Linked DNA regions of Styela clava. Each later gene encodes a partner of the first gene's protein in a complex. Links are inferred from orthologs where the notes say so. Each region holds a gene or a part of one and is shown in the gene's direction. Other genes may lie near its edges.

What was found.
Region 2: corepressor interacting with RBPJ 1-like (region 1) and histone deacetylase 3-like share a complex: the UniProt entries of both Homo sapiens proteins name them as parts of the notch corepressor complex. The link is inferred for Styela clava from reciprocal best matches to the Homo sapiens genes CIRSR and HDAC3.
Region 3: corepressor interacting with RBPJ 1-like (region 1) and deoxynucleotidyltransferase terminal-interacting protein 1-like share a complex: the UniProt entries of both Homo sapiens proteins name them as parts of the histone deacetylase complex. The link is inferred for Styela clava from reciprocal best matches to the Homo sapiens genes CIRSR and DNTTIP1.

What each region holds. Positions count from the first base shown.
Region 1 is NC_135258.1:13,377,278-13,388,726, forward strand, and holds corepressor interacting with RBPJ 1-like, read left to right. Parts: upstream 1-7,425; 5' UTR 7,426-7,497; coding exon 7,498-8,550; 3' UTR 8,551-9,573; downstream 9,574-11,449. Other genes in the region: uncharacterized protein LOC120338680, read left to right, coding at 1-245, 1,048-1,137, 1,919-2,061, 3,553-3,615; 2-oxoglutarate and iron-dependent oxygenase domain-containing protein 3-like, read right to left, coding at 5,240-6,139; serine/threonine-protein kinase 32B-like, read left to right, coding at 9,808-9,874, 10,190-10,410, 10,852-11,012. UniProt on the Homo sapiens protein: May modulate splice site selection during alternative splicing of pre-mRNAs. Regulates transcription and acts as corepressor for RBPJ. Recruits RBPJ to the Sin3-histone deacetylase complex (HDAC). Required for RBPJ-mediated repression of transcription.
Region 2 is NC_135260.1:13,914,301-13,924,803, forward strand, and holds histone deacetylase 3-like, read left to right. Parts: upstream 1-7,003; 5' UTR 7,004-7,105; coding exon 7,106-8,413; 3' UTR 8,414-8,552; downstream 8,553-10,503. Other genes in the region: protein SHQ1 homolog, read left to right, coding at 9,202-9,507, 9,965-10,503. UniProt on the Homo sapiens protein: Histone deacetylase that catalyzes the deacetylation of lysine residues on the N-terminal part of the core histones (H2A, H2B, H3 and H4), and some other non-histone substrates.
Region 3 is NC_135252.1:15,503,743-15,515,057, forward strand, and holds the start of deoxynucleotidyltransferase terminal-interacting protein 1-like, read left to right. Parts: upstream 1-6,304; 5' UTR 6,305-6,453; intron 6,454-6,786; 5' UTR 6,787-6,800; coding exon 6,801-6,908; intron 6,909-7,303; coding exon 7,304-7,480; intron 7,481-8,047; coding exon 8,048-8,143; intron 8,144-8,534; coding exon 8,535-8,673; intron 8,674-8,979; coding exon 8,980-9,044; intron 9,045-9,654; coding exon 9,655-9,708; intron 9,709-10,060; coding exon 10,061-10,135; intron 10,136-10,467; coding exon 10,468-10,526; intron 10,527-10,732; coding exon 10,733-10,793; intron 10,794-11,067; coding exon 11,068-11,139; intron 11,140-11,214; coding exon 11,215-11,267; intron 11,268-11,315. Other genes in the region: uncharacterized protein LOC120343555, read left to right, coding at 415-551, 1,041-1,240, 1,793-1,830. UniProt on the Homo sapiens protein: Increases DNTT terminal deoxynucleotidyltransferase activity (in vitro). Also acts as a transcriptional regulator, binding to the consensus sequence 5'-GNTGCATG-3' following an AT-tract.

The sequences.
Region 1 (11,449 bases):
AACATCAAATATTTCAGCAATCAATGCAACTACACATACTTCTGTAAACATGACACATTCTACGATTGTTACCATCACCCCAAATCCAACTTCAAACACAACAAGTGCAGTCGTTGCTTCACATACTACACCATCAACTTCTATTGCTAAAAATGCTTCTATCAATGCTACAACACAGCCTAATGCTGCAGCCGCCACAGAAAGTTCAGTTCAATCAACGACAGGTTCTCATCAAACACAAAGGGGTAATTTATTATTGGTTTATATTTGGCATGTTCTATGGCATATTCTATGATAATTGCAGACATTGGTAAACTACTACCCTTGGGCTAAATCCGGCCCAGGCAATGTGGCTACAACCCTTACATGGCCCGCCGATTAAATATAAAAAGGGGGCTCCCGAAGTATGCGAACCAAGATGGCGGACATCGGAATGTAATATGTGTACTAGGTTAGGGTTAGGCCATAATTTTAGGTATAAATACTACGGGAGGCTCTTGGCTAGTCTTCGAACTGATAATAGGACTAAAATAAGGAAAATTGGAAAAAAATTATCGCCTAACCCTAACCTGTTACCCATGTTACGTTCCGATGTCCGCCATCTTGGTTCGCATACTTTGGGAGCACCATAAAAAGATATGGCATACAACCTGAACCCTAACCTGGTACACACACTATGTTCAGGATGTGCGCCATCTTGGTGCACATACTTATGGAGCTCCAAATATTTGGTTTGTAATTCAAAAACTTTGCTCACACGTTAAAAATTGGCTTTAGGTATATTTGCACCCAATTGGGAGCAAACCACCCAATATATTCAAGCTTATATAATATATGTCCACTGAGCAGAGAATTTTGATAGAACTGAATAACCATTGTCTTAGCTTGTATCTATTCTTCACAATTTATTTAGTCCACTGTCAGTCTGCGTTAATTATATTAGCATACCATAAGAACCAGGGTATGGGTTTCTCCGAAAAAAAAGTTGGTAACTCAAAGGCATAACTTGTATTCAATTACTATACGACCTTATCATTCATCTTGCAGAAGTGACTTCTCCACAACAACTCACAAGTAGTACGGTAAATGGAACACACAATGGCACGGTGAATGGAACGTTGACTGGATCTAAACCAAGTATTTATACTTTTTATATTATCTCGTGATTTTGGCGAATGAAGTAAAATTAAGAATACTCTAATCCAGGGGTTCCCAAACTTTATTGGCCGCGGGCCAAAATTAGAATTGGAAGGGTGTTCGCGGGCCGGAAGAGCGTAGTGCACTATGATTTAGTCATGACATTTTTTGAAATATGTTTGTTAACTCATAGTGGTGCTTCATGACGTATTCCTTCAGAATTGGGATGGTTTGCTGACAAAGAAGACAAATCGCTGAAGTTTGATTCTTTCCAATACAGAAATACGAACGCTGCCATTTCTTTATTTAAGATTTAAATAAAATCTGTTTCCAGAGTATAGTTTATGTTTGTTATTTGACATCTCAAGCTTTCTTATATGGTTGATATCTGAATTACTGCCCTATGTTATCCCAATACCTAATACGTATAATTGAGAGACCGGTGTGCATAAACTGTAATAAGGACATAACAATTGGCAGTGTCTATAGATCACAAAAAGTAGAAACAAAGTCTGTTGAACACTATTTCACTTAGGCTTGACGGGCCATTTTTAATTGTTATGCGGGCCGGATTTGGCCCGCGGGCCGCGGTTTGGAACCGCTGCTCTAGTCCAAAATAATTGCTAAACTATTTGTGGCTTTGGAAATGTTCATAAGGAGAATGTGTCATCCAATTTTTAAGCTTTCGATAATTACTTAATTAAATTATACACTATGTGAACACTCTTGAATAAGAATGTCACGTCTTATATTTTTTTCAATTTTTATCTTTATTTTGCAGCTTCAAAAGGCTTATCACCTGTTCTTGCTACAGTCGTTGCTTTAGGTTGTGGTCTAGTTTTAATCGTTGTTATTGCTGTTGCAATCAAAATATTTAAGAATATCAAGACATTCCGTTTTAGTCGCCTGCATGAGATGCCAATGGTAAGTTATGATATTTAACATGATTTCCTATTGTAATAGATAAGAACACAAATAATGCAATCATTGCATGCCATGAATCATATATATAGACATCTAAAGGGAAATAGTTTGACTACCAATATTGGTATATGACCCATCTATTTGCAGCTTCCTGATTTATTCAGCGTACTAATTTTTGTTGTCATAACATGATAGATGTTAATCACAGTGTATACTTCCTCAATATAATTGTGATGCATGGGAACTTGTCTGTTTTGATTGCCTGTGTTAGAGGTAAGATCGGGCTAACAAATTCCAGCCCGGCCCGTGGGTATTAAACCCGACCCGAGCCCGACTAATTAACTGGATTTGCAGGCTCGACCTGACCCGGGCCCGTGAGTAATAAAACCCGACCCTAGCCCGACTAATTAACTGGATTTGCAGGCCCGACCCGGGCCCGTGAGTAATAAAACCCGACCCTAGCCCGACTAATTAACTGGATTTGCAGGCCCGACCCGACCCCGTGAGTAATAAAACCCGACCCTAGCCCGACTAATTAACTGAATTTGCAGGCCCGACTAATTAAAGGGATTTGCAGGCCCGACCCACTAACTAACCGGCTTTGCAGGCCCGAAATTTCATATTTTATTTAGTTCTTCGAATTGTCATTGCAAGAGTTTAGTACAGAATAGGGGAATGCTGGGACATATTTCTTTTTTTGTGAGCTCTATAATCTGCACATTCATTTGACAATGCGGGGCTAATAGATAGAGGGTAGCTAAAGGTTTTACTGGGCAAACTAAGAAATTCCCTAGCGACACACATATTATCATCAAGAGGCATTCAAAAACGTGTGTCAAATGTCCCGCTGCATTCCACTTGTGCGGCACATTAAATTAAACGAGGTATGCCGTTAAAAAGCAATGAATAAGCATCATCATCCAAAGAACTACGAAACTTTAAATTTCAAAATTTAATATTTATGAAATCGGAACCACTCTGAAAAATAGTTTCTAATAAACATCTATTTATTTATGAAAAATCCAGCGATATATAAGCCCGACCCGAACGTAATTATTGACTTTTCAGGCCCGACCCAACCTGAACGCAATGTTTGACATTTTAGGCCCGGCCCGAACGTAATGATTAACAATATAGGTCCGACCCGAAATATCGGGTCGGGCTCCAGATCTTAGCTCTAGCCTGTGTTATATAAGTTTAAAACTATGTATGTTTACCTAGGTTTAGGTTTACCTATCGTAGTTTGGAAGGACCAGAATCTTCCTGGTTCAGCATCCCTACCCAATTCAATACACCATAATAATATAAAGTAAATTCATTACGCATAGAACTTCTGATGCAGTTAATTCAATGGCCTCTTTGTATTTACTAGCAACTGGCTATATCTGCAGCAAACAATCCTATACCCAATCTCATCGCTAGCTTTATTGTACGTAATTGTGTAGGTGCTTATTGTATAAAGTCATATAAATTGTTATTTTATATTTTCAGGATGACTTTGATGATTACTCAGGAGTCTATGCAGAGCATACTGTTCCAATTAGGCCACTGTAAACAATGAATCAAATCGAGACTGACGACATAATTATGATGATCACTGTATTGCATATTTATGGAACATTTTACTGCGGTGCATATATTTCAGATTTTTTTGTTCCTTATGTACATATTCCACTGTGTTGTGACTGCACTTCTGATGTATTTATTTGCGCCACTGCCGGCCTATTGAAAGCCATGTTTATCTAGATAGGGTCTAACTAGTTGGGCTTTCTTTGACCATGTTTCCCATGAACGCCATTATGGCAAAACCGCTTGCTTGCGGTGAATGATGAAATTTAGCCCGGGACATATATATTTGTCAATTGAAGGACTTCATTTTAGCAGATTTGACTACGATCTGAAATGCCATGCTCGGCAAACAATTATAAAGCTTCGATAAATCTATGTGTATAAGGGGTCGAAGATTATCATGTATTTTTTCCTTCGATTAATCCGTTCTTCCCATTCAAATGAGACCTGCTTTATAGTTTGAATGTTTATGGCTCTAGACTGGAGACACCAAGCGCAACTAAGATAAAACTGGAAACTGATTTTACTAATATTTTATAACATAAGTCTAGTGTTGGTGATTTCATTTTTTTTTTTTTTTAAAATGTGTCTGAAATTCCCATGCCTGACATGTCACATTGCTCTATGTGTAACCATGTACACATTCTCTGTCTGTATCTTTCCTCTTAAGCACAATGTCCCATACTTTTGTTCCAATTTTATTTCCTCCGGCATTAAACATTCCAGGCAGTTGCCAAGCGTCACTTCAGATTAGTTTTAAAAGCCCTGTGTTGGAAATAGTAGATTGGCAAAAATGATTGTGGTGTTTTATTGCGTTTTTATAGCAGCGTTTCATTGAAATAGTGCTTGTTTCATAATTATATGCAAGCTGGGTGTGGCTAGCCTAGGACTTTTTATTAGAGACTAATTTAAAGTTACAGCAACAATACTAATGATTTTCAATTAACAGTAATGACAGGCAACAAATTGATCAAAGCTTCTGTGCATTTTAAAACACTGTTGCAATAAAAAGGTTTTTCTGTGTACACTGTTGTAATTTTATTATATGCCGTGTGGGTTCACCCAATTGTCAGCGAATTATCCACCAAACGCATACAATTCAATTCAAGGGGTATTCCTGCAGTTTCGTACCTCAAGAACTTCTTCTACTGGGTGTAGCAGAAAGATTTTTTTCACATGTCAATCAATACTAACCCCCACCTGACCGACAGAGGTTGCCAAAGTATGCCGACGATACAGAACTCACTAACGGCAGCAATCTCTCTAATATCGAGATCGTTGAGACGAGAGAAATGGTTTGCTCAATTTCGGGTGATCATCTGCGCATCTTGGATGACAGTTTGAAGGGCCTTATTTGACGCAGTCAGGTTGGGGTTAGTATTGACATGTGCAAAAATTGTTATGCTACGTCCACTAGGAGTACTTGAGGTTCGGCACTACATTAGACCCGATTAAGTTAGAAAGTACTCATAAGCTCCACAAAAAGTACTAGCCAGCTTTATTTTTTTTGAAGAGCGCATTTGGCAAATTGGAAACAATTCAGACAATTTTCCCTTTATTGCATTTTTTTTAGTTGTTGCTTGGAGCAAGATCAAGCTAAGAAGCTGTATCATGTTCTGATCTTAGGGTCTTTTATTGACTTCTTTGGATCACAAGTGAAAGAAATTGTGATTGCATATCTCACACCTGATGTCACTTTTTCGACGTGGTGTGGGTTCTCTGATCCGGAGGTAAAAAAGGATAATCTTCCGCGTTTGGGTTCAATGATAACACTATTTGCATCATCGAAAATGAATCTTCCACCTTCGAAATCTTTTTTATAACTAGTTAGATATAGCAGCGATGTATAATCAAACGATCCATATTGAATTTTATCTATATGCTTATGCCAATATTCATCATGCTGAGTTTTTGCTGAAGTATTGGTGATTGACGAGAAAAAGGTTGGATGCGTTAAATATAATTTTGAAGGATCGATTCCGAATTCTTCTGAAATTGTCTTGTGAACTCTGGATTTAACATCGTTGTATAATTCAAAGTCTTCATCTCTAAATGTTTCCAAAAGAGCATCATTTTCTAAAAACTTATAAATATTGACAAAACGTTCACCCATAGACAAAGCCCCAGAATGTAAATCAAGAATTGATGCTCCACCATCAGACCCACCATGTGCAAAACCTCGTTTTGCAAGAGCTAGTAACTGCTCAACTTCCTCATCACTCACAATATTATCCCGGACAAAACGTCCGCAAGTTTTAATTGGAGTGCATTCAGTAAAAATGGGATGTTCTTTATAATCCTCTGAACATGTAATATTATAGCTCCCACCAATGTCTTCTATTGTCACCACCTTGTTTTGGTGCGGATTTGAAAAATACACAATATAGAAACCCGCAATACAAGAAAATAATCCCACTGCTGTTGCAATAATATTATTTGATAGCAGTTTGGTCTTTTTTTGATTATTTTTCTCCCGTTTAGGATTGTTCTTTTGTCTCTTTGCTCCCATTTTACTGTTATACAGCTAGATTTGAGTATTTTACAGCTTCAAACTGAAATCAATGTAAGCATATTGCATCGCTTATGTACGGTAATCAAGCAATAAGTATTTTTTGAAGATATTGCACAATAGTTATATTAGAAAGATATAGAGTGACAAAAGACCATATTAAATATCTTTTCTTATACACACAACACTGAGGAAAATTGATGTATTTCTCCACAATTACATTTTCGCGAAACCACATTCAGACATTGCGGTTCTGGATATCTTACTAGGCTATAACCACTTTGAAAAAGATGGTAAGTTCACAAAATAAAGGTTTGCATAGTCTCAACATAGCGGACTACATTCTTAAATCTGTACATGACATTTGCCAAGTACGGTACCGGTACCGTGCGCCGTGCGGTATGGTACCCTACGTATCAAATTTGATGAATGATACCTGTACATCGCCACGATGCGACTGGCCATTGACAAGATGGCATTTCACCGTGAAACGGCGAGGAAATTCCGTAAATCTAAACATTTGATTACCTCTGCATGGTAAAAAATATAAAACTATCTCGAATTCTTTTTAAAACCAATTTGTAAGCGCTAACTCACTAAAAATACTCTTGATTTTGGGGGCAAAGGTCGGAGCCAAGAACAAGAACAAATTTGTTTTGACATTTAGTATAGACGCTTTAAATGCCTGAGATAGATGAATCAAACAATTCCGAAGTCGAGCACATTTAAGATTTTTGTGTAGAAGCTTTTGAGTGAGTCGTCTGGCAACGGAATTTCAGAATTTACTAAACCTTGATCACATGACGTCATAAGTGTTCAAAAGATGATACCAGAACATTTTCGAACAAAATTGATCGGAACACTTGCATTTCGTATCCCTATCGCAGTACCAGCAGGCATCGTATTCGTAAGCCTGTATCGGTAACGGGTAACGTCTGAACGGGCATTAGTGTCGTTAAGTCTGTAAGAACTGAGGTGCGAGAATCTTTAAGTGGGAACTGCACCATTCTTGTGTAGTTATCTGTGATAAACTTAGGATTTTTTTTATTACGTACCGGTACTATGAGATTTAGACTGTTAGAGCAAATCAACATTCTGACATTGAAATCTGAAAACTGGAAAAGAGAAACAGCTATCGAGGTTCAGAGGTTCGATTGATTCTATTTGTTTATGTTTCCTTTCTGGCAAGTCTTGTTCTGCAGTTCTGTTTGTTTAGCCAACTGCCATAGACTGACTGATGGCTAAATTTTTAAAGCCAAAACCTAACCGCCCTGTTAACCTTTTACTTTTCTCATATTTGTTCAGATATTGTACTAATTAAATTTTATTAGTTTTTACGTCTCTCTGAAACAAGCAAAATGGGGAAATCATTTAATAATTATATGTGCAAGAAGGATTTTCATCCAGCATCAAGAGACAACATCAAAAGAGTATGGATGAGACAACAAAAACTTGACCACGAAAAGAGGAAACAGGAGGAAATGATGGAACAATACAGAAAAGAACAAGATATGCATGAAACTAGGGTATTAATGGGAGACAGCAAGGCTAAACTGGGATTGAGTTTCATGTATGATGCGCCTCCCGGATTACAAAAGAAAAAAGAAGAAGAGGACACAACGGAATACAAATTTGAATGGCAAAGGAACGCACCTCGTGAAAAATGGATGAAAGATGACAAACAGACGCTAAACGACCAGCCTTTCGGAGTATGTGTTCGTAATGTGAGATGCATAAAATGTCACCAATGGGGGCATATTAACACAGATCGAGAATGTCCTCTGTATAATAAAACATCTTCTTTTGATCCTAGCATGACAATGATGGATCCATCAGCTGCGGCTGGTGCAATGCAGTCCACTTCTGGTCTTAAATTAAAACCACAAATAATGCAAAATCATTTTGAAATAAAGGATCAAAAGCATGATATTGTCAAACATGAAGAAGATGAGCCGGAAGTTGCATTTTTAAAAAATCTTTCTGACAAACAGAAAATGAAATTATTAAGAAGGCTGAATCGCATGGAAAAGAAGAAGAAAAAGAAGAAATCAGGAAGGAATAAAAAAAGTAAACACAGCTCCTCAGCAGAGTCTGATTCAGAAAGTGACAATGAAAAGAAGTCCAAAAAGCAGCAAAAGTTGAAAAGAAAAGAGCGTTCCAAAAAGAATGATTCATCAGAATCAGAGGATGACTCTCCAAAAAAGAAAAAAAAATCTAAAAGGCATTCAGAATCTGATGATGACCTGCCAAAAGAGAGAAAATCTAAAGATTACAATAAGAAAATTCATCCTAAAGATGAATCTTCATCAAGGCACGATCGATCACAAAAATACTCTCATGATGATAAATATGAGAAAGCAAGAAATCGAGAAAAGGGACATGAAAGACGAGACTTTCATAGACGCCATTGATATTTACACATTTAATTCTTGTACAAATTAATCGTTTTTCATTAATTCAGACATTGCCAATGAAACATCCTTATTGATGTATATAGTGAGAAGTTTTTTTTTCAATTTTTGGCATGATTCTTTTGGTTATTTTTAACAAAGCCCATCTTGAATAGTAGAATTTTGACGTTTAGAAGTTTGCTTCACTAATCTTACATTTTACTTTATTCCAAATTCAGATGAGGCTTCTGATGCATTTATCTTTTTCTTTACGTTATTATTTTGGTTGAATCGAAAATAAGATTATAACAGCTCATGTTCGAAACAAATTGAAATTATTTACATTCAAAGATTTTTTTCAAGAATTATTCCAGTAGGCCTACTCAATTTGAAAAATAATTATTTTGAGTGCCGATAATTAAAGTTGATGATTCATCTCTGAAATTTGTAAGAAATACAAAACCAGTCAAATCACTTTATATCTAAATTTACCTGCATTTCCTGATCCGAACCCTTTGAATGTTTACTGATTGCTCTATGTATTTTTCATTGAACATGACCCAATTCATAATATAATCGTTGTTCTATGTTCGAAAATATCGTTCTAGAATGCATTTGGAATAGTGGATTCATTCGGTTCTTGGCAATCCCTGACCTTGTGTGGCATCAAGTTTTTGGAAATTTCTTTTATGAGTTTATTGACATATTTGTTTAAATACATCGTACCTTTGTATATATATATATTCAGTGGTTTCTAGTTTTACTGATTGTCTGTAACCATTAATTAATTCTTGGATACAGTGGAAATCTATTTTTGATTTTGTGGTAATTTCAATAACTAATTCAATAATTAGGTTGTGCTTTATGCTTTAGCATCATCAGTAATTTATATGCCCAGTTAATAACAGTAATAGTGAATTTGATTTGTATTTGCGAGTAATATAGAATATTGTATTGTTACTTCCTCTTATCAATATAACTATGAATATACTGTATGTATGTTTACTATGGTCATGCTTTATTACTTTTATTCATTATTTTTAAAGCTAAACGTTATCTGTTGCCATGAATAGTGATGCATACCATGTTTGATTAATTGATTAGGCGCTTGTGATTGCAACAGCATGTATGAAGGCTCAAGGGTACTGTGATTTTGTGGGCTATGTAGAATGAAAGTTTGATTCATGGTAGATTGTGAATTGTTATAAAACTTGATTAAGAAGTTCTGCTGTTATCTTCTGATTTTTGAACTCTGACAATACAACTGTGACATGAGATATGGGAAATAGTCAAAATAGGCTTGATGGTGAAGCAGATGGCCCGGATTCAAATTCTGATAAATCAGGTAATCTGTCACAATTTTTATTGTTTCTAGTTTCATTATAAGGAAAATATAGGTATAGTACGCAGTTATTACAGCACAAAATTGGCTTCCTATTCAAAAATATTTCAACAATTTCGATATAAATTCCTCGAATAGATATTGAAACTGTTGGCGTTTTAAAATCAGTAGCATTTCATTTGCTATATTCCATTAATTTTATGTATCCCTGTGAATAAATAATCATGATTTTTAGCATAGGCCTACCTAGTTCCTTCATTTAATTTTTTCATTGATTTCATAACTTCCATCATAATTTCATACCTTTTCTTTTTATAGTTAATTTCAACAGCTTCAAAATTTTGCGATCAATTGGAAAAGGGAGTTTTGGCAAAGTATGCATGGTGCAAAAACAAAGCAATGGAAGATTATTTGCTATGAAATATCTAAATAAAGTGTCATGCATCAAACAAAATTTTGTTGAAAATGTAAAACGAGAGATTTCTATGCTTTGTTTACTCAAACATGACTTTATTGTTAATCTTTGGTATACATTTCAGGTGAGCATTTAAAGAAGATCAATTTCGAGTATTATTTACCCAAACTATTTATAGCCCAGAAGACCCGCATTTTCTAGTTTCTATTTTGTTTTCTTTTTATAAATTGAATATATATCATCAACATTATCATCCAAAGTTATAAAATTGTATTATTATTAGATTCTATGTTTTTTTCTATCAAAAATTCTCTTTTGTATATTCTCCACCATGCACACAAATTGTATTACCGTAATTTTTTAGTGTTACGGTCATACTAGCTAGCCATTTCTACATGGCCACCCCAAAGTTGAATTAGTAATTATAATTATTAAATTATAACATTTTTTTAAGCTACTTAATGTATAGATATGTTATCATTGGGACATTCCTGCCAGTTGTCCTATTGCTTCGTTTTAATGAAATGTGTAATATTCTGAATTTTTGTTTTTCTACTAATATCAGGATGAGGAAGATTTCTTTATTGTTGTTGATTTACTGCTTGGTGGAGATTTACGGTATCATCTGTCCAAACATGTATTATTCACTGAAGATGACGTTCGGTTATATATTCTGGAAATGGCATCTGTTCTTGACTATTTGAAATCCAAATGCATTATACACAGGTTAGTATTGTTTTGGCATGTAATTCTTGTGTTTTCTTCGGATTTTTTATTCAAATAATTCGATATGATAATTTGTAAGTCGAGTGAATCATGATAATGATATATTTTTATTAGTTTAATATCAGATGTTATTCTCATGTATTTGATATTATAAGCGTAAATGAGAGACTAATTATAGAAATTGAAGTAAAATTGGTAAAAAAATTTTCTGGGTTTGATTGTTCAGTGCTCATCTGTTTGTTCACTGTTCAGATCATTATATTTTGCTGGGAGGATACTGAAGTTAAAACAACAGCATTAAGACATTACAAATAAAATATTTTATGAGTTAAATTTGCTTTAATATAAAATTTTCTGAGCTGCCAACGCATTACAATTACAGGCATTTACAATTCAAATTTTGCGTCCTTTTCAACAGGTTGTAATTCACATGCTAT
Region 2 (10,503 bases), on another chromosome or scaffold:
TCAGACGTTAGGATTAGATGACTAGATCCCAGGGAGCAGGAAAGCTGATGCCCCAGCTATTCCCTCTATTTTTGTGTGTTGTCTATTTTTGCATACGTTTCGAAACTTGAGGGCAACCCAGTTCCCCGCCACAGACAAGGGTAGGGTAGCAGCCTATAAGTCGTGAATCCAGAGAGGTACCGTAATGCCCTAGAGCCTGTAGAGCTGGGAGGCGGACAACTCGACTACACGGACAACTCACCAGAGACAACTCGACTACCTGGAGACCTGGTGAGTTGTCCGTCTTTTCGCATTTTCTACGATGGTGTTTTAGGTCTATAGAAAAGCGTTTTTGATGTTTTTAGTGCTCAAATGTCGAGAAAAATACATAAATATTCTCTAGAAAGCATTTTTATTTGTATAAGTGGCTTATTTTAATCATGTTGTATGAATACAAATACAGTCTACAGACGAAATTGGAGTAACGTTAGCGAAGTTAGACTGTTGACTTATAGGACTGTGTTCGTTTAATTTTATGAACTTTATTGGTATTAAATGTTTTGAATGAGCACATTTGAATATATTAAAACCTTTATACTTCACAGTAACACTTAAATATTTATGAATGTGAGCTTAGTAGTCTGTGATTGCAGTAGTCTAAACTCGCCAACGGCAGTCGCCCGTCAACTCACCAGCAAACGCTCTGCGACGTGACGTCATCGATGCTCGAGGTAAAGACAACTCGACTACCGAGCAACGAGAGGCAGACAACTCACTAGTCGAGCAATCGCTCTGCGATATAGATGCTCGAGGTAAAGACAACTCGACTACCGAGCAACCTCACTAGTCGAGCAATCGCTGTGCGATATCGATGCTCGGGGAGAAGACATTGCTTTGCAAAACGCAGACTCAATAGTTGCATAGCATTTACTTAGTGCCGACTGATATTAGTTGTAAGCCAACTCACCACGGCAAGGTTTCAGTCATAGAGTTGGAATTTCTTTTTGCAGAAGAAAACCAGGAACAGATAGGCACTGTCGCTGCGCCTGGCAAAGAAACTGGGCCGAAGAATGGATAAATTTAATATGATATTTGAATACTAAACGTTATGGGGAAATTTAATGGATGGAAGGTTTTGTTTTCTTTTTCGTTACGAATATTGAATTTTATTTGAATACTAAACGTTATGGGAAATTTGCTGCTTTACATACTTACTCTTTGCAATACTGCGGCCCGTAGATCCTTGAACACCTCCGAAGAAGAGAGTCCACAGATAACTCTCCTTCCTTAAACTGTTCCCAAACATGTTGCACCCTCTCGTTGGCTTCCGCATACCTGCCGTTGACACGCCCCACAACATTCTCTTCCAAAATATCCACAACGTCCACCTCTATCCCTATACTTACCTCGTACATTGTTGAGATTAAACTGTAAAAAGGCATATTTTTCCGAGTTATACTGTTGAAATGGCGGTGCCAACCTTCCAGATGATTGTTGGTTCTTATTTCTACGTCGAATACTGACCAATCCTTGGGAGTCCAGACACTGTTGTATAACCATGTGTTTTGAAAATATTCGGCGAAGTTCTTGAGATCTTGAGTATGCATCTTTTCTTTCAGTGATTTGAACCTGGACGTGATAAACATAGCAGGTATATAGCACAGCGCCATGACATGCTTTATCAGGTCTCTTGTCCCAGCGTCCCTAAAACAAAATAAAACACGACGCTATAGTAAACGGTGCACGTCACATAATCTTCTCAACAAGAAAACAACTTTCACTCCTGTCGAAGTCAAAAAGCTGGTATATGGATGGGACGTTCGACGTGGTTAAAGACCCATTTTATCAACTTTTTTCTATCCATGCATTCATCAGGAGCGGCGAATGCTCGAAACAAATTCCGTTTGTTTTTGTCCTTATGTCCCGGCGCAGGAAAATTGACTACGTCCACATCTTCAATGTAATTAACAACCTACTCACCCTTTCGTTTTCCGGTGCACGTGTGAAGAGATTCGTACTGGACTTCGAAGCCGCAACGTGGCAAGCACTTTCTTCAGTATGGCCGGACGTCGAAAAGCAGGGATGCTCTTTTCACTTCACTCAGGCCATCATGAAGAATGTGCGCCACAATAATTTGGCTCGCCTATACAACAAGTGAGTGGTTAACCATATTTATATATATGTCTTTGTACTTCTTCCACTTCTTTTGTTTTAACATGTTTTATTTTGTTTTAGGGACGCTGGGACAAGAGACCTGATAAAGCATGTCATGGCGCTGTGCTATATACCTGCTATGTTTATCACGTCCAGGTTCAAATCACTGAAAGAAAAGATGCATACTCAAGATCTCAAGAACTTCGCCGAATATTTTCAAAACACATGGTTATACAACAGTGTCTGGACTCCCAAGGATTGGTCAGTATTCGACGTAGAAATAAGAACCAACAATCATCTGGAAGGTTGGCACCGCCATTTCAACAGTATAACTCGGAAAAATATGCCTTTTTACAGTTTAATCTCAACAATGTACGAGGTAAGTATAGGGATAGAGGCGGACGTTGTGGATATTTTGGAAGAGAATGTTGTGGGGCGTGTCAACGGCAGGTATGCGGAAGCCAACGAGAGGGTGCAACATGTTTGGGAACAGTTTAAGGAAGGAGAGTTATCTGTGGACTCTCTTCTTCGGAGGTGTTCAAGGATCTACGGGCCGCAGTATTGCAAAGAGTAAGTATGTAAAGCAGCAAATTTCCCATAACGTTTAGTATTCAAATAAAATTCAATATTCGTAACGAAAAAGAAAACAAAACCTTCCATCCATTAAATTTCCCCATAACGTTTAGTATTCAAATATCATATTAAATTTATCCATTCTTCGGCCCAGTTTCTTTGCCAGGCGCAGCGACAGTGCCTATCTGTTCCTGGTTTTCTTCTGCAAAAAGAAATTCCAACTCTATGACTGAAACCTTGCCGTGGTGAGTTGGCTTACAACTAATATCAGTCGGCACTAAGTAAATGCTATGCAACTATTGAGTCTGCGTTTTGCAAAGCAATGTCTTCTCCCCGAGCATCGATATCGCACAGCGATTGCTCGACTAGTGAGGTTGCTCGGTAGTCGAGTTGTCTTCACCTCGAGCATCTATATCGCAGAGCGATTGCTCGACTAGTGAGTTGTCTGCCTCTCGTTGCTCGGTAGTCGAGTTGTCTTTACCTCGAGCATCGATGACGTCACGTCGCAGAGCGTTTGCTGGTGAGTTGACGGGCGACTGCCGTAGGCGAGTTTAGACTACTGCAATCACAGACTACTAAGCTCACATTCATAAATATTTAAGTGTTACTGTGAAGTATAAAGGTTTTAATATATTCAAATGTGCTCATTCAAAACATTTAATACCAATAAAGTTCATAAAATTAAACGAAAACAGTCCTATAAGTCAACAGTCTAACTTCGCTAACGTTACTCCAATTTCGTCTGTAGACTGTATTTGTATTCATACAACATGATTAAAATAAGCCACTTATACAAATAAAAATGCTTTCTAGAGAATATTTATGTATTTTTCCCGACATTTGAGCACTAAAAACATCAAAAACGCTTTTCTATAGACCTAAAACACCATCGTAGAAAATGCGAAAAGACGGACAACTCACCAGGTCTCCAGGTAGTCGAGTTGTCTCTGGTGAGTTGTCCGTGTAGTCGAGTTGTCCGTCAGCCGTAGAGCTGAAAGATAGTACGGTAGCGCGATAGAGGTAATATATGTAACTCGCTAGTTGTAGGGCAATTGGGGTTAAGTTAAATTTTATAATCAATTAAGCTAGCTTCAGGGGAATCCGCCTCGATCCCGACCGCATATTTCGGAATCGATAGATTTTGGAAAATACCACAAGCGTTAGAATACAACAATTCCGCTAGTATATCTGTATATAAGCGGAAAACCTATAAACAATCCTCGAGAAGACCCCCAGGTTGATTTATGGACGAGACGTTTAACCTCTTTCACACCGGGACCCTTCAAGCCTCACTTCTGTAAAACTCCGTCTTTAAAGCCCCCTAGTCTTATTTCAAAACTATGAAAGACGTTAAATACGAACGGCGATCGTGTACCGGTATATTAGGAAATCCTACTCCCTATATGATTCTGCCAATGTTAAATACTTATAGAGAGTCTTGCACCTAGTATGATAAAACCGTTGGCCGACTATACCCACCGATGCCCAACGTGCGAATACAAAACCCCGTATGTCTGTATGTGTCAAACTCTAATGTAGAGTGGATTGTACATAAACCTGTTTTTAATGCTTAAATATTTTTTGTATGTACATTTTTTCTGGTCAAATAAATTAAATATTAGGAAAGCTGATGCCCAGCTATAAGTATAGGGCAGCCACGATTAAACCCCATGTATTCGTATTTATTTACGGTTGAACCATAACCTCTCGTTCGGTTGCCAAATCAATGTAGAGTACCGTATAGCTGTATAGGGTTATTAAGCCAGTTATTACTGTATTAATGTAGGGAATTGATGGTTGAACCGGTAGACTACCGATGATGGGTTACGGTAGTGACGGGTCAGCGGGTACCGGTACCGTACCGGTACGTGGGCGCTACCGGTACCCTACGGCCTGCGGTAGGTACCGGTACGGCGCGAGAGCCGATAAGTCCAGCAATCTACTCGCACACAATTACATCAGTGTTAGCAATTTCTTTCTGTCTTTTGTTTGGATGTAACTTAACGTTAGTTACATTTGATAAAGAAATGCATTTATTACTGTATCAACTTTTCTCTGGAAATTGTTAATATTTTTATTGTTAATATTTTAATTTTTAATATTTTAATATGTTCATTGTTAATAAACTCTCTCTCTCTCTCTCTCTCTCTCTTTTGTTTAAAGTTCTAGTCTAATATTTCAGTAATTCCAAATTGCCTCAATCAAAGCCTACCAGTACAGAATGTGTTTTAGATCTGTAGATGAATAGGATCCTACAGTCCCGAAGCTGACAGTTGACAGAATCTTCAGGGGTCAGGGCAGTGTTCTCAAACCTAGAGGCCAGACTGGATTCCATGGCAGGTGCACGCCCAAAGGCGCTAGCCCTCCGCAAAAATGCACGCGAGCGAATTCAATTTTGCATGCCGAAAATTTGCGATTGCTCACCAATGTAAATCAGTTTAAATGGTTTTAAAATCAATCATTCCAGCAATATAAAGATGCCAAAATATTATAACTCCACCATTGTCGACTAATACTAGCTTGCAAGATTTGGTCTGATCGAAAAATTGCGAAGCAAAAAAGACCATATCGTGTTGAATAATAGGAATCCTGTGAGAATAGTTATGGACGAAAAGATCGCCTCAGCACCAACGCTGGCCAGGTACGGCTCTGATTCATCGTATTTTTCATACAATAATTTTACACGAATGTACTGAACAGTACTGGTATCTAAAGTCGCACAAACACTTTCAAAATTAGTGACGAAGTATAAAAATGATGTTTGAGGTCAAAGGTCAAGCGTCCATTTTGCTCTAATTTGACGTATTTTTTATCCATTAATTCTACGTAAAAACACTCCCAAAATTAATGACAAAGTAAGTCAATTTTGCTCTGGTTCAATGTATTTTTTTATCCAATAATTTTACGCGGATGTACTGAACAGTACCGGTATCCAAAGTCGCACAAACACTCTCAAATTTAGCGACAAACTGTAGAAATAATGTTTGGGGTCAAAGGTCAAACGTTCATTTTTGCTCTGATTCAACGTATTTTTTATCCGATACCAGTAATTTTACGCGGATGTATTGAGAGGTATCTAATGTCAAAGTCAGTTGCACGCGGGCGCAGTTGTTTTGCACGCTGTGAGCTATAATTGCATGCCAGGAATTCTTATTTGCACGCAGGCATTTCTGATTGCACGCCCGATTTCTCGTTCAAAAAGGCCATGACATCCAGACTGGCCTACAGGCAGACAGGGCTACAGACGGGAGGCGGACAACTCGACTACACAGACAACTCACCAGAGACAATAAAAATGCACTTATACAAATAAAAATGCTTTCTAGAGCATATTTATCTATTTTTCTCAACATTTGAGCACTAAAAATATCAAGAACGCATTTCTATAGACCTAAAACACCACCGTAGAAAATGCCAAAAGACTGACAACTCACCAGGCCTCTAGGTAGTCGAGTTGTCTCTGGTGAGTTGTCCGTGTAGTCGAGTTGTCCGTCAGACCTATGATTGTTCTTTTAACAACAATTTGAAAGTTATTGATTTTATTTTCTAGTAGATTTTATTGTTTATTTTATATTCAAATTGAACCCACTTGAGTAATGTCAATTTCAAAGACTTGCCCATGCAGCCATGACAAACAAGCGTTCTCATTTAGTGCAGCAATCTGACCTTACTGACTTAAAAAGATTTCCTGTTGAATAAATGTGAAGTAAAAATTACTGTTTTTTGTTATTGATAATTCAAGTATGCCACTATAAATAAACCTTAAAAATATTTTTGGGTCATGAGATTTTACAAAAAGTATTCCCAAAAAAGCTTGGGTCACTTGAAAAAAATGTTGGAATGTAACCACTGGCAGACTGGGTTAAGCTACTGTATTGATAGACACAATCATTTACTGGGCTACATATTATTCTTATTTACGGTAGTCATTGCTCTATACTTAACTAGCTGGATTTCCACCTCGTTTAGAACAAACTTCCAGATTGTGCTCTGCGATCGGCTGTTGTCGCTGCATCATGAAAACTTTGAATTTTTTGATATTCTTCTTTTTATAATTTTATTATTCAACTGCTTCCAAGGCAACTGAACATCAAATTTTGAATTCGAACCATTATATGTCACTTTGTGGTCTAAAATATTCTGTGAATGATGTTATTACAGTATTAAGTACTTCACTTGTTGAATTAAACAACCAAACAGTACAATGCTGGAATGTAGGCATTTTGTTATCCATCAATAATACATAAATAAAATGATTTAAACTCACCCTTATTCTGTTATTATATCCCTATATACAGCATGCAATTATAGTGGTATAGAAAGTTTAAATAAAAACATTCTTGATATAGATAGAATATTTGCGAAATATTCATAGTACATACTGACATAAGAGGCCATCATGTCCTCAGAAGGCAAAGATCGCAAAGTTGCATACTTCTATGATATGGACGTATCACATTTTCACTACGGACCTGGTCATCCCATGAAGCCTCACAGGCTTGCCCTTACACATAGTCTTGTTCTGCATTATGGACTGCAAAATAAAATGCAAATGTATAAACCATATCGTGCAACTCAACATGATATGTGCCGATTCCATTCAGAGGAGTATATCAATTTTCTGCAGAGAGTAACACCGATGAACTTACAAGGCTTCACCAAAAACTTACAAATGTTCAATGTTGGCGATGATTGTCCAGTTTTTCCTGGACTATATGATTTTTGCTCAATGTATACTGGTGCATCTTTACAGGCAGCAACTATGCTGAACAATAACAAATGTGACATAGCGATAAATTGGTCTGGTGGGCTTCATCATGCGAAAAAATATGAAGCATCAGGTTTCTGCTATGTCAATGATATAGTAATCGCAATTCTTGAACTTTTAAAGTATCATCCCCGTGTCTTATATCTTGATATTGATGTTCATCATGGTGATGGTGTTCAGGAGGCATTTTATCTAACTGATCGAGTCATGACTGTTTCATTCCACAAATATGGAAATTATTTCTTTCCTGGAACGGGTGATATGTATGAATGTGGTGCAGAAAGTGGGCGGTATTATTCTCTGAATGTTCCTTTGAAAGATGGCATCAATGACCAAACATACCATCAATTGTTTAAGCCAATTATGCGTGCTGTGATGGAGTCATATCGCCCAACTTGTATTGTGATGCAATGCGGAGCAGACTCTCTTGGATGTGATAGATTAGGATGTTTCAATTTAACCATAGACGGACATGGAGAAAGTGTGAAATTTATGAAAGAGTTTGGAGTTCCACTTATGTTCCTTGGTGGGGGAGGATATACTGTAAGAAATGTTGCGAGATGCTGGACATATGAAACCTCAATCATAACAGGTCAAGAAATAAGTGATGAATTACCATACAATGAATATTTTGAATTTTTTGGGCCTGATTATGTCCTGCGCCCAGATACAAGTCAAAGGGTTGAGAATCAAAATACCAAACAATATCTCGACATTCTCAAACAGACTGTTATGGAAAACTTGAGAACGATTGCTCATGCTCCCAGTGTTCAAATGCATGAAGTCCCTCCTGATCTTTTAACATTTGAAAACTATGAAGAAAACAATGATTTCGATGTTCGAGACCCTATTTCTCAACAAGAGCAAAGGATCGAAGCCGATAATGAATTTTTTGATGGGGATCAGGATAATGATAAGGAAAGTGATGTTAGTATATGATTCAAATTCTGTCTGTCCTGTTATGTCAGATTCTTGATGTTATACCTTTGACCATTTGCTGTGACTGCCATTGGATTGGAATGTCCAATAGAAATATTCATATTTTAAGTCGGGACCAAAAAGATTATGCCATTTTCAATTGAAATGAATTAAGCAATAATCGACACAGACTGTTTGCCAGGATACAGCAACAAATACTTTTGTCAATTTGCTCAATGGTCTGCATCTCTAAATGGTGATGAACAATGAATACTCAAATTTCGAATGACTGCAATTTTATTGAAACAGTATTTATCTTTTTTGTTGCAGCCCTATTGGTATTTCAATATAGATTTTGATTTCCATGCTACTTTGCCACCGATATAGCGCTTTCTACTTTGTATATTCTAGTCACTTGTATGTTTTTGGAATGACAGAATCATTGCTATTGAAGTGATTGTGATTTGACTGAATTTTTTTTTTTTCATATCGAACCCTTTGATTGATTTATTTGAAAATAACTAAATTCAAATGTTCAAATGTTTTGTTTGTTGCTACTAGCTAGTTGTATTAGCATGTAGTATTGATCTTCATTTTAATTTTTATGATATGTTGTGGTTGTATGTGAGGTTGCTATTAGTACAATGTGCAACATACGCAGGTTTTTGTTCTGCTGAAGGTCACATATTTTGCTAATCATTTTTTACGTTTTTAATATTGTAACTCTGGAATACTAATGAATTCTATTGCCTATTGGTGAATAATATTGTTTTAATATCTATATTTAAGATAACAGATATCTTGGAATAATGATAACGCCATTGTTTGAAATCACACAAGATGATATATTCCTGTATATCATGATTAAAGCTCCTTATTCCAAAGTATCAGAAGCAGATATTTACATAGAGGATGGAAGCTTTAGATTCCATGCAAAGCCATACTTTTTACGGCTCAGTTTTTCTGCTTCACTCACTGAAGATGACAGAGCAAGCTGTGTTTATGATGTTGAAAATGGAGAGTATAAACTAAAAATAGCTAAAACTGATCCTGGAACACATTTTGAAGATCTTGATATGTTGACCAAATTATTGACACCAGCAGGAGAGAGACAGGTAAAATATTTGTGCACGATCGACTTTTGAGAAAAAATGGATTCAAAGTGCGCGCTATGGTTCATAAAATACAATAAATATTTACAGTATCTACTTCCAAATATGTCCAGGATTTCTAGCTCGGCAAGAGATGAGGTTTTACATTTGATGAAGATTTATCATTCTTGTCTGGAATAAGCAATTATTATATTTTAAGTTATCATATATCAGAATTTTAGTAAATTTCAGATAAATACATTGGCGGTTAAAATTCACAAAAATACAACTAAAACAAATCATTTCACATTGATATTTTGCACAGCACTTGTTTCAAATTTAATTGAATCTTCAACTAAATGTCTGTCTTTTTCTGAAAGTAATTATTGCTTTATTTATCTTCTCACTAGTAAAAAGCTGTCTATACTTTGTGCTATTATGTTCCTACTGTTTAATTAAATTAAAACTTTAAAATTCTCAGGTGAAGAAACCATTGATTGAAGTTATTGAGAATGACGATAATGACGGAATCGGTGAAGATGATGAGCAGTTTGATTGGAGTTATCCTCAATTTCTTCCCAACAATGAACCAACAGAATCTTTGATCGGATGTGGATATGGATTTGCCAATTCGAAGTCTGGTGTATTTTCAAAACTTCAAGAAGACATTCACGATGTGATACAAATCCGAAATATAGAACAATCGTCTATAGAAAACAGGAGTTCTGAAAGAGTTGAATATGAAAATGATAAATTCAATCCGGAACATTATTTAGCTGATTTATTCGAAGAAACAAATATTGAAGAATTAATCAATTTGACTCCACCTTGGAAAACTGCTAAAGCTGATGGAATCAATTTTAGTGAGAAAGATAAATTTATTTTGAAGAATTTTCCGAATATAGAATATCTTCTTGATAAAGTCCAAACGCAATCTGTTTATATGGGTCTTGTAGACATTTTATTCAGTTATGCTTACAATTGGAGATGTACGGAAGGTGATTACAGTGTGGAGTCACC
Region 3 (11,315 bases), on another chromosome or scaffold:
CCAGAAATTTCCTCAAAATGAGGAAGCTGTGCTCATTTGCCATCAGCGAGTTTTTGATATTGTGTGGCATAGCTTTAGGCCTACTTAAGCAAAAAAAACTGAACGCTGCCAAGCCTTTACTCGTTGATACTTCTGTAATATACAATTACTATTGAGCAAAACATTAATACCAAATATAAATTAATAAATCAAATTTACTACAAAGGATTTTATTGAGAAAAATAAGCGACCCATTATCTTGAATTTTTTTTTTTTTTTGAGGTAATATCACAACTGTATTACCGTAACAAATAGATTAACCCATTTCAAATCCTTATGCCTGTCAGGGGAAAAATTTAAATTAAAAGGATTCTACAAATCCTGTAGTTAATGTTGGTGACTTCTAAAAAAATATCTGCCTTTGCTTTTGCATAGGTTACACACGTCACAGCTTCAAGTCCTGCAACCCAATCCACACAGCAAACCCAGCAACCTACAGGTCATCCGGCTATGGTTCCTGCACATGGAGTTCAACAGGGGGGCGGACCAGTATGGATGCCAATTAACGCAAAGTATGTTTTAAAAATCACCATTACGGTGTTTGAGTCATTGGCGCATCTTCTTCCAGCTATAGATGAACTGAGTCCCTTTGAGTATATTGAGCATAAATGAATCTGGTCATAGTGCGAGTCAACTCTCAAGATGAGTGGCTTTTCCTGGCTTCCTGGTCATTTCATAAATTTTGAATGTTTTCCCCGAAATTTCCTTTCATTCAACTCAAAAAAGAAGGCTTGAGAGTTAGTTGTGGGCCGCACACGACATTCCAGAATATTTGACCCTTTGTCAGGAAACATTAAGTATTCTCATGCCAAATCACTCATGCACCTACTCAATGTAAATTTATACTGTGTTATTTTAAACCACATTGGGCCTAGTCTCATACAATACACCTAGCTGTATGTATTATAATGTTTGAATTCATACAAATGAACGACTTTAACTGAATTATAACGGTATGAATATGATACAGATATAAAGTTACAGGTGATGTTATTTTCTAGTTCAAATATAATGATGGTGCCAAGCGGCCAACCTCAACCAATGCAAATGAATCAACCACCGCAACATACCCACTACTTGAGTGCTATGCCAGCAGGACAGATTCCTTCATCAGTTGCAATGTCCAATCCTGTGCAACAAAAAGGACAACAACAACAAATCCCAGCTGGACACTATATGGCTCAAACCCCGCAGAGATCATGTAAGATTTTTTTTTCTAATATGTAATATATTGACTCGCCTGCATAGTTTTTTTGCTTACCTATCATCTTCTAAAAATATTGAAAATCATAGTTACAGAGTGCAACAAAAATCAGTCGGGTAAAAATAAAGGAGATACTTGGCAGATAATATGAAAAACATATAGATCCTAATAAAACCTAATATGCTAAATATGGAAGGAGACAAGGAAGCGTGTGGGATGGTTAAAGCAACAACACATTATATCGCCGCAGTAGTTATTTCACAATTTTCAGAAATTTACTTTTTGGATCGAGGCTATTTGTATGGTTTCAAAGTTGTGCCTGTTAAAGTTTTGATTTTAGGTATTGCCTTACGTCCATTGTTAGGTTTGGCTGTGAAGATCTGTAATTTACAAAAATGCAATTTGCCCAAAACCCCGAAATGTGACATAATACCTGTTGTGGCCATCATTATTATAGGAACTTTTGTGTAACAGAAATGCTTACGCCTTCACCTAATTGTCGAACTTTTAAATTAGGCTTCATTGAATTATATTTTTATTCTTCTTCAGATGGACAATATCAATCACCTTCTGCAAACAATCAGTGAACAAGAATATTTGAACATTGAATAAATTTTAAGGTCAACCATAAGTAGCAAATGGGGAACTTCTTAACGATAGATCTATGTCTATGTGTGTGTGTGTGTGTGTTTATTTACTTTAAACTTATTTACTATTTTTCGTCATTTTTTTTGTTTATTATTGGTGCTGTGATGGAACGATTACCTTGATATGGTTTTTCTTGAGTGCCCCGCCATCTCTACAGACTGTCTCTATGTCGAGTTAGCTGGCTGAACTTTTTTCATGATCGTACCACAGGGCTGATTTTACAAATTTAATCGCAACCAGCTGGTTGGCCATAACCAAATACTGGTCTATTTCGAATACATTCTAAATTCCTCCAAATAAATTTTATTCACATTTCTAAAATTCAAGGACATAGGAATTGAGCTTCAATAATATTCTCATAGCGAATCATCTATAAATACAAATGGCATGTGTGATATCACTAAAATTAGTGCTTTTCTTGCTTCCAGGAAAAAAGAATTCGTAAACATTACAGTTTTTTTACTTATAAATTGTGACTTATCTTGGCAACCACAGAAAACATCAACTAAACGCCCAGTGAAATGTTTGAAATCCTACAATATAATCGAAGTCCTTAACAACACACACATATTTTGACACGGCTAATTTTTGTTATAAACTGTTTATCATCATGTGAGTATAATTTGGCCCATCGACATCGGAGGTTACTTGTTCCTGAGTGAAATGTAAAAAACTTTTCGTCTCATTCATACATATTTTTGCATTTGAGTAAGCAGCATGATAATGGGGCAAGTCTGAATTTGTGGTTATCTTCTGCTGTGTATGATCATTGTTAAGCATTATGAGGTTTCTTATTTCATATCTATTGACATAAAAATTAAAGATGAACATTTTTAATTTTAATATTTAGCTTCGAAACCATTGGACAAGGGTATACTGCTATAATTTGTTTTAACCCTTCATAAAAATAAGTTTTCTTGCAAGTCTCATTCAATCTCTCTATCAGCTTCGATCCACTGTATTACTGATTCGGTGCCCAAGGTGGTGGTCGTTTTATGCTAGGTTAAATGTTTTAAAATTGTGCTGTTATTAACATTGTTTTGTAAATCATCTTTGAATTTTGTGTTAATTCATAAGCGGGATAAAAATGACATATTACTTAAAAATATTCAAACTGAAAAAGGAGTAGATAGAATATCACCATTAAATCACTGACAAATATTTCCCTAATACATAATTACAAATCAGAAATACAATCTTTTTCGCTGTAACTAGCGTTTTATTTGAAAAAAAAAATCAAATTGAATAGACACTGTCTAAAAAATTGTTGGGGTTATATTCAATGCTCAATAAACTCATGACTATCAATTTATTATCATTATGCTATTCAATAGTGTCTTCATTCAAGTCTCAAAGATTGTCTACAACAAGTAATGCCAAGCTCAAGAGCTGGGGTTCCCTATATTCTTATTCCTATTTATTTCCTATATACCTACTTTTTGAAACATTTTGTATGTCATTACTGCATAATTCTCTAGGTATAAAAGTACAAATTCATCTTAATTTAGAAACCCTACTTCCAGACAAAATAGTGAATAAAATCGTGATTAATGAAGATCCAAATTCACCGAAACAGGCTATTTTAAATGTTTTGTGCCTTTTATGAATGTATGTTGCGTTTCTTTTTCTCTGTTGCTGTTATTATTATTATTTACTCTTATTCATTTATGTCGCTTTTAATCAATTTCTCTGACTCTCAAGCTGTGTTATCTTGTGATACTCATCCATTTTGCTGCTAAGCACATGTTGTTAGCTTGAGAGTTAATGTTTTTAATAATGTTTTGTTTCATGTGTCATTTGTGTGCTCCTGGTTGGCCAAACACAGAGATATCATACTCATAAAGAATATATCAATATAATCAAATCTGGTTTACATGCAAAAGTATTCCTATTAGGAAATATGATATATTATAAAACGAATTTTCTGTAAAAAACGTTACACAAGCTCACCAAATAACTTATCCTAAATTCATATTGCGCAATAATGCTAAACTGTCTTTGGATTTAGGTGGGATTTTTCATAGTTGTATACTTATAATCGTAGCTTTGATTTTTGGAGTTCACTCTCATTTATACCCAAACAGGCAAGTTTCACTTATCGAGAATAACACTGTTACTCGAACTCAATTTTTTTTTGATATATGGTCAATCGTGGGCACTGGATTCATCTGCTACTTCCATATTACTTATAATCAACACATTGAAGTAAATCACTCATTTGGATCACACTATCTCGATTGATTTATACAACTATAATTAGTTTATGGTCCAGATTTCATAAATGAAGCATTGCTCTATAAAAAAAACACTGAATTATATGGATTCATGTGAAAACCGAGCATTTTTTCCACAACATAATCATCTGTAAGGTCATGTTTTGAGTAGTCATGTAGTCAACACATAAAAATTACTTCAGATCAAACAAACCAATTTCAATGAAACCTACTTGGTTGTATTTTTGCAACTTATTGGACAAATTTTTTGTAGGTCTACAAATAATATCTCAGAGCTATTTTTTATATTAACGAATAAGTTAACTCAATTTTCGGCATAATTTGAGAGCCTTCCCCGGGTTGAATAGGACAGTTTTACGTTTTGTCCTTGTTGATTGTGTAGTCACTACTTCAATCTTGTTCAGTTGTTATTGTTTGCGGATTTTTGGTTTACCACCCTTGTTAACATTTTCAGTTTATATTTAAAACTGAAAATCATCAAGTGTTTTCTTGTGATCTTATGATTTATTTATTCTATTTTGCTTTATTGTATTTTTCATTGATTTTCTTCAATTTTAAATAGGATTTTTAGGATATTTTACTCATTGAATCACTTTTGCTAGCTGCGAGCTGGTTGATATATACAAGGATATATCCATGTCTTAAGTATTTTGAATATTTAAGTCTCACCCATTTTCCTTGCATAGAAAATTTATTCCTTGTCAAGTATGAGCAATAGATAAGTACAATTTCACATACTTTCCAATAATAGACACATGACCGGATCTTTTTATACAAATAACATATAATTTCTGGCCTCAAGTTAAAATCTGAACAGTCCATCCAACTTTTCAAAATAAATGCCAATAACAATAATGCAGCATGTGCTTGAACATTATAAGTCTTAATTATAGGTCATTCGCATTGGGCAGACATTGAACACAAGTTCGCCTGCAACAGAAATTGCATCCATAATTATACAGGTCATAACGATTATGTTTGCTCAAACCTCTGCCAAATGCATTTCTCTTGCCTACTTAATTAAGCTGATTGTAGGTAATATCATCTGTGATATGTTTCGGTAAAATATGGATAACAATCGTTTCATCTAGTGTCGGATTTTTAGTTGAAAAAATCCTGTCTACAAAAACTGAATAAACACATTGTAAAATTAATCCTGTCTGACTCGAGTTGTTGAAAAGTTATATTAGTGGGTGTGGCACGACGAGAGGCGTGGTTCGTCATGATTATGCAGCCTTATCGTCTTTCCACGCGAAAAAGATGTAAATTCTATATCCCTCTCTTTGCTTTAAAACAAACTAAGATCAGAGAATTTGTGAATTATGAAACTAGGAGCGGAACAAGTGCTAAAAAACAGTTGTAAGTTGCTTATAAAGTTCTAGTTCGATTTCTGAATACTGATGGTGGCATGGTGATATTGAAAAATGCAACGCAGCAATTGCTGCACATATTTTAGAATATTTATATACAGTAGTTGTAGCTGTTGCCGTGTGTTGGCAGGGCAATTTAGTTTTATTGGATGCTATGAGTGACCCAGAGTTAACATATGCAAAATTCGTTACGTCACGCCTACTGGTACCTACTTGTGGTACTATACTTGACACGCATATTGGGCATTCTTTTAGCCAAATGATGCTGCTAAGTACACACACGCTCGCTTATTAATGAAAGAGCACGAGTTAGAAACTCATTTCATATTCAATAGTAGTTACGAGCTATTCTCTTTGGTTAGCCCTGAAGCTTGGGTGAGTGAAATTGCGAGAAGCGCGTTACGAGGCAAAATTGATCAAGTTCGTCCGCCCAAATTAGAAAAGGGACTTTCCCGGGGATGGACACCCTTCTCGTTTCGCAACTAGTCAACAGGTTCCCGAAATCGTCTATTCCGCTTGAAGTTGGATGGAATAGTGAAAACACTTGGTTCAGAGCAGAGCTACATATTCAGTTTATCCGTATATACACAGTTAATTCTGCAAGTAAAAATTTTGAAAGGAAACCAGGTTGAAATTGCATTCCAAAATTGATCTGAAAGTGAAACAAATACGGACTGGCTAACTATGCATATGTCGGTACCGGTACCACACCCGACAATGGCTGGTAACCGGACCAAAGGGACAATTATATAAATCCTATCCTAACTCATTTCACCACATTACTTCATTACCTGCTGCTCAATCATTAGCAAATGCTCCACACACTGACACAGGTCAAAATTCTCTGATTGTTTTAATTATCTGGTCTTTATTTTTGTTGATTAATCTTCAAGTCGTGTATCAGTATACATCAGTACAACCAGTACATCAAATACATCTAATATCGAATGATAATCAGGTATTTGATTCATTATGTTTAACATTTATTGTATGCTGCATTGGTCCACGATCAGACTATAGCACTGCTAATTACAGTAAGTAAGTTTATTTCAATTTTCTGTTCCAACAAAACAAAGAAGCAATACATAGCAAAACAAACAAATAGCCCATGACTGCATGAGCTCTTTATTTCGTGATCCCAAGTAACTGAATACTGGAATAAGGAAATGTGGCACAAACTGACTTTATCGAATACTTTATCAGGAAATATAAGTGTCATATCTAAATGATATACCTGTAAACAGTCACCTAAATCTGGAAATAATAAAGTTGCAAGTCTCTGTGTCAACAGAAGTATAAGTCGTCATGTCAGATGTTTTCATTCCTCGTGGTTATGTTTCAAAAACATTCTGGCCTGTTGAAAAGTCATCTATACCTTCTGAAAACTTGGATGAACCTGACCTAACTGAAATTGTAAGTACCTCAGTGTAATGACAGTATATTTTTATTCTCTGACAGACTGGTTATTTTCTGTGTTTACAATCTTTATAATGTTATGCTTCAAACTATCTCAATCGAGTTGCATTGATGTACAATGTTTACTTACAGTTCAAAAACCTAACTAGTGTAGAAGGGCTCACAGAAATTTTTCATAATCAATCATACATTTATACCTACTAATTTTTTCAATATGAGTGAAATCTAAAGCCAATTTATCAAATTTGAATAAATTAATGCTAGTCAATTCATGTTGGGACCAGGCATCTTTCAGGAAAAAATCGTAAATTTCTACTTTTTTAGGTTTAGATAAATTTTCCGAAAAATATATCAATTTCAACCAAGTCAATTATATCTTTTTTTAATACCAGCAACCGTTCAGCGTGTATCATCTTGATCATCCCCATGTTATAAGAAAACGATCCGGACATTTTGGTGCTTCACCGCGGTGTCGTGCAAGTGCTACCGATTCTTTGGATCTCACTAGAAAAGTTTTACAGCCAGCAATCAACTATGATGTTGTGGAAGTGTTTAAGAAGTATATTTCGGTGTGCTATACATTTATTTTTTTAATCTCATTTTAAAATTTAAATGAGAAGATTAAGTTGTCAAATACAGTTGTCAGTTGTGATAAATTTTCATTGCCAAATATGATTTAACATACTGTTGGGCCATTTTCCCACAATTTGAATCAGTGGTAAACTGGGGGTCGTGAACAAATTTTTTGTGGCCGTGGAAGATTTTACTTTTGATGCCTAAATTAAAAATTGCTCATCAAATTATTATCGCCTGCATACGGATTTTTGTTGTAACATTGACTGTCGTATGGCCTTTGTTTTGTAGTTGTAACTAGCATAAGTGAAAGCACATGTCAGTTTAATATTGTTTACTTGCCGAACATGCCTACCGTTAGTTGTAATTATCAATTTGTTTATTTCGATTTTAAAATTCGGTATCAAAATGTTTGCGAAACGTAGGAAAGTTGTTGGGTCAAGCATTTTAAAGTGCTTGATTGGAAGACTATTTCCTCGTTGAGAATTATTCAAAACCTGTCTGTTTGATATGTCAAATCAAGTTATAAAGGAATTAAATGTCACCTCTTTCAATCATGCCAGGTTTTTCGGGATGCGACAGAAAATATAGTGTCAAACATGCACACTGAGCCATTTACCTCATGTGCAACTTCTGATGAACTCAATGTTGAGAATATGGTAGGAATATTTACCTTTTTTATAATTGTCCATTAATTCGTTTCGTATAATAATTTTTTATTCAAGGTCTATATCAGTGAGACGGGATCATTTAATTTCTTTGTGGAAAAACTATCTAGTTTTTTTATTGCACAATTTATTATCCGATATACTCAAATCTGAGCTTTTTGATACAAATATTGGCTTTTTATTCAATATGTTGTAAGACTAAACTTAAGATAACTTCTGAAAACCAGCAATGCAGTTGATAAGTACCAGCAGAAACATGAATTTTTCTTCCAATATAAACACAGTACATGAGCGATTCATAGAATTAATTCAGGTAGGGGGGATCATATCATATTCTATGCTGTATAATACTGAAATTTACGAACCCAATTTTTCTTCTTAGGTTTTTAAAGCTTGTTCTGATGCTCTTGAACATTGCAAATCATTATTTGACACCAGGACTCCTGTGAATCAACCAAAAAGTAAAATTGCTAAAATCCAGAATGCAGGTTCTGGAAAAGGGCAACAACAGACATCTATAGGTAATTACAATGTCATTTTATATTATCACAGCTTTCGTTAATGGTGGGCTTTAACACTGGTTCTAAATCTTTAAAATCAATCAAACAAAAAAAAATCATTATTTTGTCCTAAAATTAGTTAGTGTCAAAAAAGATTTTTCGCACAGGTAAGTGGAGTCAAATGTAAGAAGAGTAAGTATGGCTACTTCTGACAATATTGGGTACCGCGACCCCCATTGATCACTTTTAAGACCCACCAGGGGGGTTTGGGATCCAATTTGAAGAGCCATGGTCTAAACTATTGTTTTATAAATTAAATTATTTTAGCGTCATCACTACCTGGATGGATGGTTATGAAGAGAGTGCCAAGTCCAGATTTTCCTTGGACAAAGGTAAAATTTAAAATTATATTTATTCTAATTTACTTACATTTTAAAACTATTTACTCATTCTTTGATCATCACATTCGAGTAATTGGAATAGTTTTGATGGCTGATGACTGAATTTTCCAACTAAATGTAAAGCATATCTGCATATGCAAATAATAGTGACAATTTTGATGACCTTCCATCGTTGAGGTATTTGTCACTGAAGCTTTCTAGCATATTAGAACAGAAACTTTCAATGTCATTCATCTAATGTTTCTATTGTGTTTATGCTAAAAAGCAATGTATTTTTGTCAACCATCCACCATATTAATAACTAATGCGAAATAGATATTGTTTTGTAATTTTTCCTATATACGATAGCTAAACTGTCATGTTGTTTAGACAAAAATAGGTGATATGTTAATTAGTGTATACAAAAAGTACTGAACGTTTATTTAATTAAATGCTGGCCGGCTCAACATGGCATTGAAAGTGATTGAATATTTGCATTGTTGGAAAACAAGCATATTACATATTTAACTTTCCTCTTTACAGGGTGGACCAAACAAATGTTTTTGCCCACCCTGTATCATTCAATACATTTTGAAATGAATAGAAATTTATAAAATTTCAGAGACTTGCAAAACACTCGCCAAGAAGATCACTCTCTCCAACTCCCAGATCAGCAGTGAGTAATTTAGGCAATTTTATTAACATACTGTGATATCACAATGACATGGGAAAGGGGGTTTAGCGAAAATGGTATAAAATTCACTTTTTGCTATAATGAACAACATTTTCCAAAAATCTCTATTTTATATCTGTGTAATGAAAAAATTGATCTGTTTGAATTATGGAATCAAATTTTTGTTACATATCTTTTATAACCCAATGTTATCTTTCTTCAAATCTACTTGAAAGATCCCATATTTTCTGAATCTATGAAACCTAAGAAATTTTTTAAAGGGTTGCCTCAAATGAACTAAATGTGTATATTTTTATGGTGACAGAATAAGTTTTTGTAAATATATTACATTTAGAAAAGAGGCAAGGCAACTCCAAGAAGATATGGAAGCCCTCAACAGGGTGGAAGAGAACCACTTAGTCGTGATAATGTAAGTCATTTGATTCTGTCATGTTTAGGATAAGATTCACCGATACATATTTATCCTGGGAGAGAGGAGCGATTGACAAGACCAATCAAATGGCGAACCATAGCCTCTCGTCCAGTTACCAGTTCATGTTGGGTATGGGATTAGTTAGTCAGTTTTTTGTTTTAGATGCATGGACTTAGTGGAGAATGCCGTAACCGGCCAGCGGTTACGTGAACCACCCTACGGCGGCGAGGAGTGCAACAATCCTTTCATAATTATCCTCCACGAAATTTGAACTTTCGATTGTGTTTGCATCTGAGGACATGTAACTTATACACGTTTGTGTTTTAAAGTGGGATCCAGATAAGCTGAATACTGATACCAAGTTCATAATGGGAACAAGAGCAAACAAGTAAGTTTTGCCTAAATTAATTACATTTTTAAACTTTGGGGGAAATTTTAATGTTTAGATCTATTAAATTTTTGTTTACCAGTTTTTTTTCTGATCAACATTTTAGAATCTCTAAAATATTACAAATTATTTGTAGAAAAATGTTTGCATTTACTCGTACCCCTGACATATCTGTAACTGTATCTTGATAAAATTTTTCATTTCAGAGCGTTAGGACTTGGAGCAACCAGAGGTAGAATTTATATGAAGCATCCAGAATTATTCAAGGTATAACTGAATCATAAATCTCATAATTGATGATATTTTCGGAAATATAAGTTCATATAAATTAAGTGTCGTATAAATCCAATTTTCTTCATGCCTTTTGGCATTATGTATTATTCATTCCAAAAATTTACCAGCGTAGATGTGGAAAGAAATATGTTGCATCAAACCATCAATCTTTTTTACATCTACAAACTATCATACTGATATACAACCATATTTTCAATAACCAGTTTTTCGTTTTGCAACATAATTTTTACCATTTAAATATTTTCAGTATTCCAGTGACCCAGATGATAAAAAATGGATGGTGAAAAACAACTGTATGTTGGCTACGGGAGGAAAAAATGTAAGTAATGTTAAGCATATCCTTCAAATCTGTCTTGAGATGGAAGCAGTTGCATTAACTTGTTTTTGTTTTTAGACATTTATCATGATTGCAGACAACATATTTGACCTGATAGATAATGAATACAAGTATGTACTATTATAATTTTAGTTTAGATTATTATTACTGAATGAAAT